Rhinolophus ferrumequinum: one gene and its partner. The protein of the gene in region 1 purifies or fractionates together with the protein of each later gene. This does not show direct contact. Links are inferred from orthologs where the notes say so. Each region holds a gene or a part of one and is shown on either strand. Other genes may lie near its edges.

The links. The genes of interacting proteins can lie anywhere in the genome.
Region 2: the proteins of PNMA2 (region 1) and PKN2 purify together in Homo sapiens (affinity purification with mass spectrometry; 3 studies listed by BioGRID and IntAct, with this or other methods). This does not show direct contact. The link is inferred for Rhinolophus ferrumequinum from reciprocal best matches to the Homo sapiens genes PNMA2 and PKN2.

The regions. Positions count from the first base shown.
Region 1 is NC_046301.1:40,887,821-40,895,620, forward strand, and holds the start of PNMA2 (paraneoplastic antigen Ma2), read left to right. Parts: upstream 1-4,791; 5' UTR 4,792-4,927; intron 4,928-4,943; exon of another isoform or gene 4,944-5,039; intron 5,040-7,644; 5' UTR 7,645-7,800. Other genes in the region: DPYSL2 (dihydropyrimidinase-related protein 2), read right to left, coding at 4,077-4,430.
Region 2 is NC_046292.1:66,923,496-66,930,966, forward strand, and holds the start of PKN2 (serine/threonine-protein kinase N2), read left to right. Parts: upstream 1-4,467; 5' UTR 4,468-4,569; coding exon 4,570-4,617; exon of another isoform or gene 4,618-4,645; intron 4,646-4,827; exon of another isoform or gene 4,828-4,942; intron 4,943-7,471. UniProt on the Homo sapiens protein: PKC-related serine/threonine-protein kinase and Rho/Rac effector protein that participates in specific signal transduction responses in the cell.

The sequences.
Region 1 (7,800 bases):
GAACCCAGATGGGTCTTAGGTATATTGGAATCCTGAACCATAAATGTTCATATTTGTGTCTCCTCTTTCGAAACAATGTGGCCTCTAAAGTATCAAATTAATGCCCTTGTTCTAGGCTCCCAGCCAAATCTCTACCACACATCCTGCTAACTAGGCATTCATTTTGTTGAACAGGCTAATCTATTATCAAACACATATCTCTGGGGACAACTTGTGTATCAGTCATTCACGGAAGCGATGGATGCCTTGAATCATTGGGATTTCTCTCTAGCTAAGATTAACACAAGGAAGGGATTTTGAATGAGAGAAGGGAGGGCAAAAGGGAAGAGAGTGATTTCAGAACTCGTTGCTTTTGGAGGAAGAAAGCTCTAGAAGGGGCATCGCCATCACAAAGGGGCAAGGGTAGCATTAAACATTAAGAGGGCAGCAGAGTCCCTGGGCACCCAGGGCTGAGAGCTCATCAACATGGGGAGAAAGAATGGAGACATAGAATGGAAAGGCATATCAGAAAGTGTTTTACAGACTTGGTGGTTTTGTCAAGTTCAGCAGCACTCTCATGTAGTTCCCTGACTGGCACCTGCCCCCAGAGAAATGGACAATCAGTCCCCTACTACCCTACTCTATGTAGGCTGTTTGCTGCAGGGAAAAGGGCCTGGGAGCCCCATTGGAAGGGATGCTCATGATCCAGTTTCCCTGGTGGGACAGCTGGTTCTGGCTAACATGTGTCTGAGGTAGAATGGAGGGAATTCTTAGGTGGAAGGGAGGAGGCTGAGGGACCCCTGGGCACTAGCAGGAAAGAATACAGCCAACAGTAGTGTCCTTCTGCTCTCTATTGCAAGAGGCTCAGAGTCCCTAACAGGTGGTCACCAATTTAACTGCACTGCAGCCCAAGATGGACTTCCCCCAAGGAGACAAAGGGAAAAGAGAGTAATGTGATAGAAACTTTCCTCATTTGCACTCATGACACTGGCTCTTCCTTTCACCAAAACCTAACATCCCAGCCCAAGCCACACCGAGTGCTTTCTGGTGCTGACTTGTTGACATTTGCATGCTGGGATACATGCAACTCAACATCCCCTAGTCGCCCATAAGCCATGTGGCATCCAGGCTCTGGAGGCGTGTTCCCTCCCTTCCCACCACCTTACTAGAGGAACAGCAGAACTCCTAGGGTGGCAGGTGGGCAAAGCCCCTCTGCATGCATTAATAACACCTATAAACACAGATTTAGGGAAGGAGGAAAGATGTGAGATCCACTCACTCTAGTGTATCCCCCCACCTCTCTATGTGCCAGGGCTTCAGATAAAAACATACTAAGATATTGGCTGTCACCCTACTCATTAGCTGAAAACTACCGTGTTTCCCCGAAAATAAGACCTAGCTGGATCATAAACTCTAATCCATCTTTTGAAGCAAAAATTAATATAGGACCCAGTCTTATTTTTCCGTAATATATTTTACTATATAATATTGTATATATTATTATATAATATTTTACTATAAGACTAGGTCTAATCTAACATAATATAATATAAGACCGGGTCTTATATTGATTTTTGCTCCAAAGGAAGCATTAGAGCTGATTGCCCAGCTAGGTCTTATTTTCGGGGAAACACGGTAAGTAATGGCTACCTGATTCAGTCAAAATGGTGGGCCCAACTGTACTTTTGGAAATCACCATTGTTACACACACACACACACACACACACACACACACACAAATGGCTTTTGTGTCTTGAATAGTCATGAAATATTCAAACACTGTTAAGTACTGATCCTGGTAAATACTCTTAGTCATGAATGAAACAAATCCCAAAGGAACAGCCCTTACATGATAAGGCAAGATTGAAAATGAAAATTCAGGGAAGGCAGCAGAAAGACCAAGCCAGAATCACCCTCTGCAACTAATAACCAGGCAACTGAAGCAACTTTGGGTTTCCAGAGGCTAAAACTGCCTAGGGTTTGGTTTCCTCTTCAAATCTCCCTCTCCATGTGCTCTAGGTTTATCGTTCCTATTAAATTTAGAAAGTGTTCAAACAAGTAACTCTGATGATCAAATATTGGAACTTCTAAATGCATAGAAAAAGAGACGTGTTATTCAACCCAGTGAAACTTTGCCTTTCAAATCTGAGTTTTAATTCACTGCCATCATTATCAAGAAGACCACTGTCAACCAGCACCCCTTGAGCGGCCATTTTTAAAAATGATCTCTTCCTTATCGTGAGGCATTTCTCTGCGCCCTTTAGGACATTAGAATTACCAGCACAACTTGTTTAAGAGGAGGACACTCACACAAACGTGTGAGTGGCACTAGAGGTTCTGCTGTTCCTGCTATAATGATCATGGTTTGGCCCTCACCTAGTGTATTCACGTAGGAAAGCATTTCACACTCACCCAGCTTTCGTTTTAAGTTACATTACTAGAAGCTTTTACTTCAGCTGTCTGATCACTTGGTACAAAGTAAGTTTTCTGGATTAAGTTCTTCTGGTTGACTGATAGTGAAACGCGGATATCCGGTGACCCCTCCCCCATATGAATAAATCAGAGCACAGGGCTGGGAGAGAAGGAATTAAGTAATTAGTTGCCCCCTTTTGAAAATGACAGCAGATGGTTTACCTTTCCTAGAATTGGTCCAACAAAAGTGAAAAGCTGCAAAATTCTATGCCACATCAGGAAAGAGCAACATGTTTGTGCCATGAGCACCAACTCTTCGTTGTTCTCTGATGTGTTCATTAAAAGCACATTGTCTGAAGCCCCGGCAAATAAATGCTTGTGGAATCACTCAGTGACTATGTATAGGCCACTCCCAACTACTCTGAAAGCCCCGTAAGAAGAAATCACCTTGAACTTTTTCTATATAGCTAACTTCCCCCTGCCCCACAAGGCAAGGCACACAATAAGTATTCAATAAATAATCAATCATTGACTGATTTCTCATTTTCACCAATGGGCCTGGGAAAGAAACAGCAAACAAATGTTGAAACAGTTCACACTGTAATTTATCAGTTGAGGAATTAAGGCTCTGGGGGGGCTAGAGGGAATGCACAAGTATGAAGGTCACCCTGATAAAGAAAAAAAAAAAAAACAACTGTGGTGTGAGAAGACGACTGCTCTTAAAATGCACGCTGTTCTTATTCGCCAGAGATGACGAACATTTTCTAAAATCAAGGTTTACCAAATTGGTCCTCTTTGTTTCCCCATTAACACTGTATGGAGGGTGCCAATCCATCTTTGACACTGGATCCAAAATGTGAAGGTTTTTTTCCCCTTTTCTTTTCACTCTTTGAACATAATCCACTTGGTCCCTATCCCCAAAGCGCCTCCCACATAGGGCGGGTTGGGGGGAGCACGCTGGGAAGCCCTTGCTTTAATACTTAGCGGAACTTTGTTCTCCACATGGGCTATTTAGGAGCGTCTGGGTTTCTTCGGGGGACTCCACCGCCTGCCTGGTTCTTCTCACGCAGCACACTGGAGTCAGGGTGATGAGATTCTCCAGGGCGGTCCGGGAGGCGCTGACCATGGTCCTGGCCTCCAGCTCAGGACGCGAGCGCGGAAGGCAAGGAAGGAGATGCTGTAGGAGAGCGCGCGCAGGGCGCGGCGGGGAGCAGCCGTCGAAGCCCCCGCCCCTCCTGACCCCCAGGGAGCCCGCCGGCCTTCATGCAACCCTCCACTGCATGCCCAGAGCTGCATCCAAAAAAGGGTGGGGCACCCAGACACAGTTGCCATCGGAAGGCGCCCGGGAGGATTTAAGAAGAATGGAACCGCGGCCCATCCCCATCCCCCACCTTGCGACCCCCAAGCAGAGGATCGGCCGAACCTTTACCATCACCACCCATCAGGCCCAGGAAAGCGCGGGCAGCCTTTGTGGGCGCACGGCTGCCACAGTCAAGCCCGCGCCTCTCCATACCTTTCGCGGAGAAGGGGCGGGTTGGGTGGGGTGCGTGTACATATGCGGGGAGGGGCAGGACGGTGGGCACGCTGGGATGCTCGGTTCTCCACCGAGCTGTGAGGGGGGCGACGGAGGGGCGATCTCTGCGCCGGGTCCTCCTTCTCAAACACCCCCACCACCCAATACCAACCTGGTCGTAGATGTTCTGCAGGGCTTCCTTGCCCGAGGCCCGCCGGATCTCCACCTTCCGGCCGGATTCAACAGATGGCTCCCCACCCGCGCGCCGGCCCTGCCGGGAGTACGGTGGCTGCGGGTCGGGACCCAAGTGGGCGACGTCCCGTTGCTGAGCCACCACCTGCCCCGAGCCCCGGCCCACCGACAGTGAGTCGAAGTCGATGGTCTTGTTCTCCGAGGACCCTTCTACCGGGCAAAACATGCCACAGAATTTCTGCCGGGGCTTGGGGCTGCCTGAACCCAGGTTTTTAAAAAAGGCAGGGACCTCTTCGTCCTCTGCCGCCTTCCCGGATTGCTTCCTCTCGGCCATGGCGCGGGGGGCTCGGGGAGGGTCCTCTGCGTCCGCCCGTCCGTCTACGATCCCTAAGTCTGCCTCTCTGTGCACAACCCTCTGCAGCGGCTGCCGCTCTCTGCCTACCGCAAGGTGCACAGAAAGGAAGGAGGGCTGGTGAGCGGGCGACCCTCCCTCCCGGTCCCTCCCCCTGACCCCTCTTTTTCCCCTCCCTGCCCACGCCCCCCGCCGCCACGCGAGCTCCGGCGAGCTGCAAAGTTGGGTCTGGGAGGGCGGCCGCTGCGGCAGCGGGAGTGACAGGCTGCCTGCGGGTTCCCGGCAGCTGCAGGCGGAGGGAGGTGCAGGCGGGGCGCGGCGGGGGCGGGGCGAGGCGCTGGGAGCTCCGGCCCGAGCTGAGCGCAAGGGAGGGGGGGAGGGTTGCACCGCCCAGAGCCCCGCGCTCCGGAAGTGAAGCTGCCAGACCACCGGCTAATGGATGGGGAGCGGAGGGCCCGCTAACAGCTCTCGGCTCCAGGGTGAGTATGGGATAGGCACGCTGGGCGAAGACCCGAGGGCGCAGCCAGCCCCTGGCCCTCGCGCCCTTCTACCTACGCGACCCAGGCGCCTCTCCCCCACCGCATTGCGGAGGTAAACCGGGGGCTAGGGCCCTTTATGGGGAGGGCTCCCTCCTCTTACCTCGGGCATGAGCTGATGGATGAGGAAAGGGAAACAAACTGGCTGGCGACAAGACACCGGGGGAGAAGGGAAGAGGCCGCAGTGAGGATGGGGAGGGAATGGCGCAGGCCGTGCGGAGAGGTGGGGGCCATGTCCCGATGCGCGGGACACCAAAGCTTCAGTCTACCTACGGGCTTTGGAGGGCTGTTGGGGGCAGAGAGTGAAACGAGAAGGTTCTCGCTCAGTGCATCCACAGTTGTGGAGGGCGCACAGCACGGCAGGGAGAAATGCAGAGGCGGAGCAAATGGTGGTGGATGTGGGGTATAAAGAGACATAGGTCTGCGTGCTGGCGAGTGTAGCCAAGAATACAGTGCAAATTCCGGCCCAGCACAACTAATACATAGAGAGGGTGCCTGAGGGCGCCACGTACCGTAATTGCGCCACTGCGCCACGAAGGGCCCAGGAGAATGTTCTGATTTGGTATCTTATGCCCCCACCCTCCAAAGGGAGGGAAAGGCACAGATTACAATCCACTCCCCAAATCTCCAGCCCTTACTTGTCTGCCTCCCCTGTACCCCCGCCCCTGTTGCGCACTGCGCCAGAGCCGCGTGCGGGGGCGGTGGGGTGGGGGCATATGTGCCCGCGCAAGTCCAGTGTGAGGTAAGAGATGGGGCTGTGACTGAATGCTTTGAATTGTATGAGGCCAAGCAGGGTAACGGTGTGCGGAGACGTGGTTGTGTATGTGCGGGTAGACCAGGCGCAGCTACCTGGTTGGTGGATATCCAGAGAGCGTTTTGATATGTGCCAACAACACCGTCACTGAGCGCGCTTCATTGCTCACTCCCATCCCCACGTACTTTCCTTGTATCAGTCTTTGCCCCTGGTCGATTACAGCCCCGCCCCTTTTACTACGGTGGCAATATCCTGCAAAGACGATGCCCATCCTTTGGTGGTTCTAGAGGGAAGTCTGGGCATGCTCAGTAACGAGGGTGGGTTTGGGCTAAAAGAGGCTGTTTGCCGCCCCGGAAAGTGTGACCAAGGATTCTGTCCCATTGTCAGCTCTTGCCCTTATTAGGATTCGATGTGGATACTCTCCCTCAACCCAAATGTGAGGGATAGTTTGGTGAATGGAGTTAAATTTGGAGGACCACCAGTCACAGTTTGAGGAAGAGCCCACCATGATAGGTGGGAAGGAGTCTCCTGATGAGAAGGGGAGAAGGAGGAAGGAGAACGATACACGTGTAGGGAGCTGAGAGACCCACAGGTGGACATTCAGACTCAGCACCAGATGTGCTTCTAATTTGAATAAAGTGCTTCCATACGAATTACATCATTTCCTACTTACGGCAGCCTGTGAGAGGAGTGCTTTTCCATCACTACTTTCCAGGGTAGGAAACAGATTTAGAGAGATTCAGACGCCTTGCCTAAGGTTACTAATTAAATGATCCAACAATCCCAGTGGGGGTCTTCCACCTGAAAGTATGGTCCCTTTTCCAAATTATCCTTATGTTAGAAAATACAAAATTTTTTACATTTTTTCCATATCCAAATATTTCCTTCCGTGGACTTACTGTGTATCAAAATTGGTGGTTCAATTGCCATCTTTTTATTTGACAGTTACCTTGCAGGTAGGGACTGCATTTGGAGGAAGAAGCCATGGTAGTTGTTCCATAGACCTTGGAAATGTTTCTTCCTGCACATTTGATGCCTTTTTACATCTCATGTTTCCTCTAAAACTACAACGTGAGAGGAAGGTCACCCCCACATTGAAAGGGAAAGGGAGGCATGGAGAAGTCACTGGGCTCAGATCCATGAGGCTGCTGGGCCAGGGCATTATCCATCATTTTGCCCTTCTGGACCTCGGGCACACTCCATGCCGCCAGCACCTTCCAGAAGGACTGAGGAAATGTGCCTGTAGCAGGAATAGCTGCCACGATGGCTACAGGTTGGCATCTGTGGCATATGGACCTCACTCGGCTTGATGGAGAGTTTCAGGCCTAAGGAAGAATGATCATGGCCGCTTAACACACGCGGTACAACAGAACTGGGAGACTTTAGGAACGCTTCCCTTTTTACATTACATTACCCACTCTCCACTGGCTCTCTGTAGATATGCTCTCTCTTTTCCTTTTTTCCTCAAATGATCCATTCAAGTTCAAATGCTACAACAATACTGTCTTATTAGTAACTTAACATTCATAGCAAAAGAAACACCTATTTGTGCATTTGCCTAGCCTGACCAGACATAACAAAAGAGCATGATTCATAATCCAAGTTTAACTTATTTGGCCCTGAGATTTTCAAAAATTATTAAATGTATATTAAATTCTTATACCTATATTATTATATTATATTAAAGTATATTATATAAGTTGTATTGTTATACTGACATTAATTGGTTTTAAGTATTCGAGTGATTTCTAATTGGACTTTTTTCATCAAAGAACTGAAGCAACTATATTGTTTAGTAGATTGAATTGTGAAGGATAGTCATATTTTTTAATAAACTCGCTGACAGTCTTCATCATTGGATATTATCAAACTATAAAAATACACCATTATTATTTATGTGCAACAGGGCAGCTTGACTTGGCCAGAGCTAAGAAGGATGCAGACACGCCATTGTATGGAGTTGGGTGACATCTTCATATAGTAGAAGCTGAATAAATCAGATCATCGACTCTCATGGAACATTGGAACACATAAACAGGTATCCAGCCACATCTCCTCATAT
Region 2 (7,471 bases), on another chromosome or scaffold:
CGGTAGATCCTCATAGCATTTAAACCAATTGGCTTCTCTCCATTTCCAGTGCCACGACCCTAGAGTAAAGTACTATCCCTTTTTGCCCGGAAAACTAAAATGACCTTCTAATTTTTTCTCCCCCAATCTACTCTTGACCATTTCTAATCTGTTGTTCTCCTCACCATGGCCAGAGTGATTTGTTAAAAATGGAAAAGGTATTCAATGATTTTCCATTGCTCCTATGGTAAATTCAAAATCTTAAACATAGTGTGGAACTGGATTACTATTCACCTACATTCAGTGCCCTTCACTGTGGTATCCGTCTCTGTTGGAGGATTATACAGCCGTGCCTCTTGTTGTTTTCAGGCATGACAAAGGTTTGGCTGATGAAAAGTGAAATGTCAGCACACGCTTTAAGAACCAGCAGGTGATTTACCACTTTTCTTTTCTTTCTGCCCTGACAATGGCTATATTCCAAAGAGACACTGCTCCGTCAGCCTGAGTCAAGAGGGAACGTGACATGAAGCAAAGCTATGGAGGGCATGTTGCATGAGAGATAAACCTTATTGTAGGCCACTAAGATTTTTGGAACCATTTGTTACTCAGCATAACCTAGCCTATCCTAACTGATACACATGGTTTATAGGCTCTTGCTTATTGCTCCATCTCATTGCACTGGCCTTTCAGTACTTATACAAGATGCTCTCTTCCATCTTAGAATATTTATCTATGTTATTTTCCCTCCTTGGAAAGTTCTTTACACCTGTTTTTGCCTGGTTAACATATACTCATCAGTGAGATCTCAACTTAACTGTAAAGTACTCAGGAAAGGATTACCTGATCTAAGTTCAAAGTACCTGAAATTCAACTTCTTTGTTATTATGTCTCTTTAAACTATAAATTCCATGAAGACAGAGATCAGGTGTGCCTTGGTAAGCATTATATTCCCAGTAAGAGGAAGGAAGGACTTCTTTTCCAAAGAGTAGCTTTTTCTGCATCTTTGTACATTTGGAAGAAAATGGCCATTCTAGCCCTAGAACCACAACAACTCTCCCCTCTAAGGCCACCAACTGATCAGCGTTCCAATGTTCTATTTCAGATTCTTGGAATCAGAATCTGGTTGGCTAAACTTGCACATGTTCTATCATGGTCCACCCAGAGTTTACTGAAAGATCTAGGTCAAGCAGAATTAACTTGCTACAGAGACCTGTTCTCTGGGGAAAGAGGCAATTCTCAGAGAAAGGGAGGTAGACTGAGTAGATATCTCAGAAAATATCTGCTACAGTCACTATAACTGAGTCCACTCTTCCGTGTTCTTGACTTTGTTTTAATAATCTTCTCAAAACTATCCTCACAGAGTATACAAGGGAACAATCCCTATAAGCAATTTCTTAAGGAAGAAACGGGTGGTGATCAAGTAGTTCTGATTCTGTTTCCCTGAGTTTTGCCTCTCCTTTGGCAGTCTGTTACTTTGATGACCACTGCCACTTCACTGTGATCTCTTAGGGGTAAAGGGCTACTCTTTTAACACTAACATAAAAACAAAACAAAACAAAAAACACAACCATAACAAAACAAACACAAATAAACAAACCCTTCCCTCACTCTCCATAATGCTTTTGGGATAAGCTAGAATTAAAAAAAAAAAAATTACTAATATTAAGGAAGAAAAGAAGGGAAACAAAAACTGCAAGGCAATAAAAACAGGGAAGTTTTTCACAAAGTGAAGTTGTTTTTGACCATTTCCCTGGATATATAGTCCTTGTCTCATTTTACTTGGGGTCTAGGGGAAAAGAGGAACCTTATCATCTGAGATTGTGAATCTGTTTCTCACCAACAACAGAGAAAACAAAAACAAAAATGAAGTTCAACTCTACCAGGATTTTTTCCTGTAATATTTCTTTGACTTTAAAAAGGAAAATAGAAGATAACACTGTCCATCTAATTTTTGTTAACGTTTTGAAACTATTTCTATGTTTGGTGATTTCTACTTCTTAAAGACCTTTAAAATATCTATGAAAAACTTTAAAGGTACCTGCATAAACAGTGATACAATCCAGATATTTTTGAGGTCTTTAACTTCTTACATGGACATGTGTTTAAAAAAGTCTTTCATCTTTTTTATTGTTAATGCAAATTAGAACATAACTTCAGGTGAACTATATTTAGGATTCCCTAAAAACATTTGCAAATAGGGACTAAATATAACACATCTGAATCAACATGCTATAGGTTTCCATAAAACTTTTTCAAGTGTGCTTCGTTCTGATAAGTACGTTCCGTGTTCTATCGCTTTTCACCCCCCTGAACAGAGACTATGAGCTCGGTAATTGTTTTTAGCTTAAATTAAACTAATTTACTACTTAAACCATCACATTTTCCAGGTTATCAAGCAGTTTTTATTTTTTCTTGGTCTCCCTTTTGTATTGTATTACTTTCCCCAGCATAACTAATCTCAGAAATAATTTCTATAACTTTAAAAATGTTTTATGTTTGTTGTTTACACTTATGTATGATATATAAAATCAAAACTATTATCAACATTTTCTTCAGCACTAGAACTATGTAAAGTTAGAAGTCTTTCTTTTTCTATGGTAAATAAATTGAGGGACCATATGCTTTGAGTCACTTTAAATGAGGATTCTATTTTAAAGTACTTACAGCAGCATGATGTAGGTTAAAACTAGCATGGGGTTGGCAATTAGGAGATTTAGGTTCAAGGCTCTATCTCTGCCACTAAGTTGCCATGCTCCTAATTAATTAAGTAAATATGGCTTATTTTTTTTCTACTTACAAGAGTTAGGCTAGATATTTTTAAGTCTCTTCTAGTTCTAAAACTCCATGTTGCTAAAATGTGAATGTTTGTTAGGGAGGGCATTTACATCCTGGCTTTTCCAAGTGTTATTTCATATATTTTAATTGTCATTTTCAACCAAGGCAATGCGCTAAACATATAAATAGTTGTCAAACTTTTTGTTATATACACCAGAAAAATTCTTTATCACACATCGTGAGTTGGAGTTCAGAAAATGTGGTCACAGAACTCCAGACCTTCAACAAATGTTTGTCAAATTAATGCGTAAGACTTCAGAAGACAAAAAGATAAACAAAAGTGCAGCATCAGCCCGGCAGATCTTACATGGAATGTAAGAGAAGTACATAAAAGTATACATGCTTCTTATATATGCCAGCTAAGCCACTCTTCGAGTAGCCATCAAATCAAACATTCCCTACCACTTTCTCTTAAGTAGCTCTCAACAAAGTCATTGTATTTCAGCCTCAAATTACCTAAAAGTAGGCAGTTGCCTAGAATATCCATTCACTGCTCAGAAAAAATAGAAGCTGTACGTTGGAGACTTGATTGGCATTCATGAATACTATGGTGTCAATTTTAAACCTGCAGTTCCACCACTTAGCTATACGTTACTAACTAACAGGTTCGGCTTGGATGTTGACTACACCAAGCAAAGTTGGCTTTTTTCCGTTCGTGGGGCTGACTCTGCCCCACCCCTTTCAGTTTAAATTCAGTTAAAACAATTCAAGAAGCCAGTTAATTAAATTTTAAACTCTGGAGTTCCACAGACCAAACCATAGTAGTTCAGCGCTTGGGAAGAGGCATCTCTCAAAGGCTGGGCGTTAAAAGTTACCAGGGATCGCAAGCCGCTTACATTTCTTAAGAAGAACAGACCACACCCCAGTTTAGCCAGCTGTGCACCTTACTGGTCCGAAAGGCGCGCTGGGGGTGGGAGGAAGCAAAAGGCAAGATTAGTGTCTCGGGTTGATGGGGGTCAGGGGAATAACTTATAAAAGTCTGAGTTCCGAAACTGTGCGTTGTGGAGGTTAGAAAGGGGCTTGTTTACGTTAGGCCTAAACTGCGGCAAGAAAAGTTTCACTGGGGAGAAAACAGAAACAGCGAGTAGGCTCCCGAGTTCTAGCGTTCACCGCGGGGCCGTTAAACGCAGCAGGGAAGAGGGCGGGTTTTCTCCTTCCTCTTCCCGCCTCCCCAGACGCAAGCCTAGTCCTTTCCCCTCATTTTCACTCCAGCCGGGTCCAACCCGCAGGCCCCACCTCGGAGCCGGGTCGGAAGCCGCCCCGCCCCCAGCCCGTCTCCCTCCTCGGGGACCCCTCCGCCCCAAGTCTCCCGCCCGCCGAGGGGCGGCGACCATGGCCGTCACGTGTCCTGGCAGCCGCCAAGTGAGGCCGCTTTTGCGACGCAGTGACAGCCAAATGGTGCGACAGGAGGAGCCTCAGCAGCGGCCGCTGCGCCCCTCACCGAAAGGCTTGAGGCGGCTCCTGGCGTCGCCCAGAGGGAGCGATTGAGCGAACAGAGTCCCGCGCGGGCGGGCGGGAGGCGGCGGCTGCGGCGGCCGGGCGGCGAGGGGGAGCCCGCTACGAGTGCCCTAGCTCCCCGCAGCTCTTCATGAACTGGGCGAAATAAGCCGCGCCTCCAGCAGGGGCTGCGCCTCCATGAATCCCTAGTTTTTGTCTTTCTTTCCCGGCTCCACACCCGCCTCCCCGGGTCCCGTCCCGCCTTCTCCCTTCGCCAGTGGCGGCCGCGTCCAGGTGCGGAGTCCACAGCGGAGCGCAATGGCGTCCAATCCCGAACGGGGGGAGATTCTGCTCACGGAGCTCCAGGTAAGGGCCGCGGCCCGGGCGGGAGGATCTGGCAGAGGAGAGAGGGAGAAAGTGGCGCGGGGTCGGGGACCGAGGGAAGCGGTGCGGCCGCCGCGCCCCTAGCCCGCTAAGTGCGGAAACTTGGGGATGTCACTCGGGAGCCGCTTCCTTCGGGAACTGGATCCTCTCCCTCTTCCAGAACCCTGGCCTGCCACTGCTTTAATTACCTACCAGAGGGACCCCATCTCTGCTTGCAGCCCGACTCTGCTCCCTCCTTGTCCCCGGAGCGGCCAGCTCACCGCCCCCTCCCGGGGTGTCAGAGCCGCCGGCGGACGCCCCTGCTGCCCCCTCTCCCCGACTGGCCGGGCCCCGCCCCGCCTTCGCTCGTACTCCGCTCCTCTAACTCCTTTGAATGACTCCCAAGTTGTTTTCTCGTTCCTCCCCTTCCCCTCAGACTCCGCACAAAGAGCGCCCCCATAACTTCCAGCCCCCAGACAAGTTTTTTCTTTCTTTTCCTTTTTTTTTTTAAACGTGTCTCACAAATGCTGGCTTCACTTCACCAGCCCTCTCCAGGTGACTGCATTTCTTTCCTTTAATGCGACGACTACCTTTTTTTTTTCTTTTTTACTAAGTGATATATATGGTCCCCCTTTTCAGCTACTCCGTGCTCAGATTCGGAAGCTCAGATGCTGATGCTTTTCAGACTTTCATTTTCCCTCCCGTTTGAACACCAGAGAAAGAGCTACAGAAGTTGTTTACAAATGAGAAAGCAGTTGACTGAGGGAAAATGTTGGGCACCACATGCCTGCAGAAGATGAGAACAAATTAGGTCCCTTAATTAGTTAAGTCTATGTCGAGTAGCAATATTATTGTTAACTACTTCCAGCTAAATATTTGATGATGTAGACACGATTTTTATTTTTAGGTCTCTATGATTTACAGGGGGTACCTATGCTACCCCTTTGGGTTTATTTTTTCATTACTTTGGAGTGTTCCACAGATGTTTACATCTGGATTGGAATTTTATGCTTGTATTTTGACTTAAACTTAATTTTGATTTTTTAATGTAGTCGTCTCCTACCTTCCAAAGATTGGAGATAGGAATTAGAAGAAAAAACATAGTTACGTTTCTTTATGTGTGTTAGGCAGTTAATTTTTTTTAAAAAAAGACTGAAATTAGACACTGAGGTATTGATTCTTGATAATGTCAAAAATGTAAGTATTGCAACTGTTTCTAAGTTTTTGCCGTTCAAATGTTCTGTTCGATACCTCCCTATAAAAGATTGCTTTATTGTGCTGTAAGCTTGAAGGCATTGTTATAATACGTGATATTTCCTCCACAAAAACAGAGACTTCAACAAGGTGTACCAATGCACTGTTGCAAATTTGGAATCCTTTGGAAATGCAAAGCTGAATTTCTTATCATTGAACATGTTGCTGTATTTTAATTACTCTTAGCCATATTAGTAATTTAATTACTCTTAGCCTTTTATAAGGAGGTCTTACAGCATACATTTGCTAATGAATGGAATTTATTGTTTTATTAATTTACGTGAACTTTTAAAATGAAGTTTGAGGCGCAATCAGAAATGTTTTCCATTGCTTATTCTTGAAATATGAAAGGTACACTTTGGTTCTGACTGAGAAAAAGCCATGAAAATAGCAGGAGCATTTTCCTTTGAATGGAGTGTCTTCAGAATTATAAAGATTCGGCATCCTTTTTTGTATTTTATCGAAAGTTGGAATAAAAGACACTTATTTTGGCACTGGACCTGAAAATATATTTTCATGTGTATTAAAATGTAGCATTTAGGGACTTTTAACAACATCAGTTTTTACATATATATCCAGGGGATTTTTCTTAGTGTATTTGACCCCCAGTTCTAATAAGTTACTGCAGTTGAACTTTATCGTGTTTATTAAAATAAGTGAGAATAAGATAAATGGTGATAAAATTTGGTTCACCGAGCATATCCATCTATTCAAACATTTTAATTATTTCATTGGGTCAAGAAACTAGTATACAGTAACTAAATATTTATCAAGCTTGCTGGTAGAACCAGTTTTTTAAAAACTTCAGAGTTTGGATTTATTTAAATTGAAAAGTTGTTTAATATGACGTTCTTAATGCTTCTCTGCCAAACTATTTTAAATATTTAAATTGTAATTTATGTAGCAAGTTTTAAAACTTGTGTTTAGTAATTAACTGTTACTTTGCCATATTTTGTCTCAGGAATACCTGCTTCACTCTGAAAGTTACATGTTACCTACTTTTAATGAAATAATGATAATTTATTTAGAAACATTGTATATCCAACATTTTAGAATTATTTTTCAAATTATATTGCAGGATTTGAAATACTTAACTACTTGAGCTGGAATTGGCTTATTGACTTTTAGTTGTGGAGAGACAAAGAAAATCTGAAACCGCAGTACTTTGTCTTGTTTATTACTATAATATTTCTATGGAGTAATGTTTAAAGTACACGCAAGTATTGATGGCTAGAGGCTTCAAAGTGTAAGGAAGAATATTTGCTGTAATTAAAATTAAAATAGGCTGTTTAAAAATGAAAACTTAATTGGCAATCTTAAATTTTTATCTCTTATAACAAACTTTTTGTGTCCCATTCATCTTATTTATTTGTTTAGTGGGAAACTTAATGAAATACTTTTATGAGGCCAAAGAAATTAAAGTTTTTCTTTTTTTTTAGTTAAATTTATTGGGGTGACAATGGTTAATAAAAGTACATAGGTTTCAAGTGTATGATTCTATAATACATCATCTATGTATCACATTTTACGTTCACCACCCAGAGTCAGTTCTCCTTCCATCACCATATGTTTGACCGCTTTTACCATCTTCTACAATCCCCCT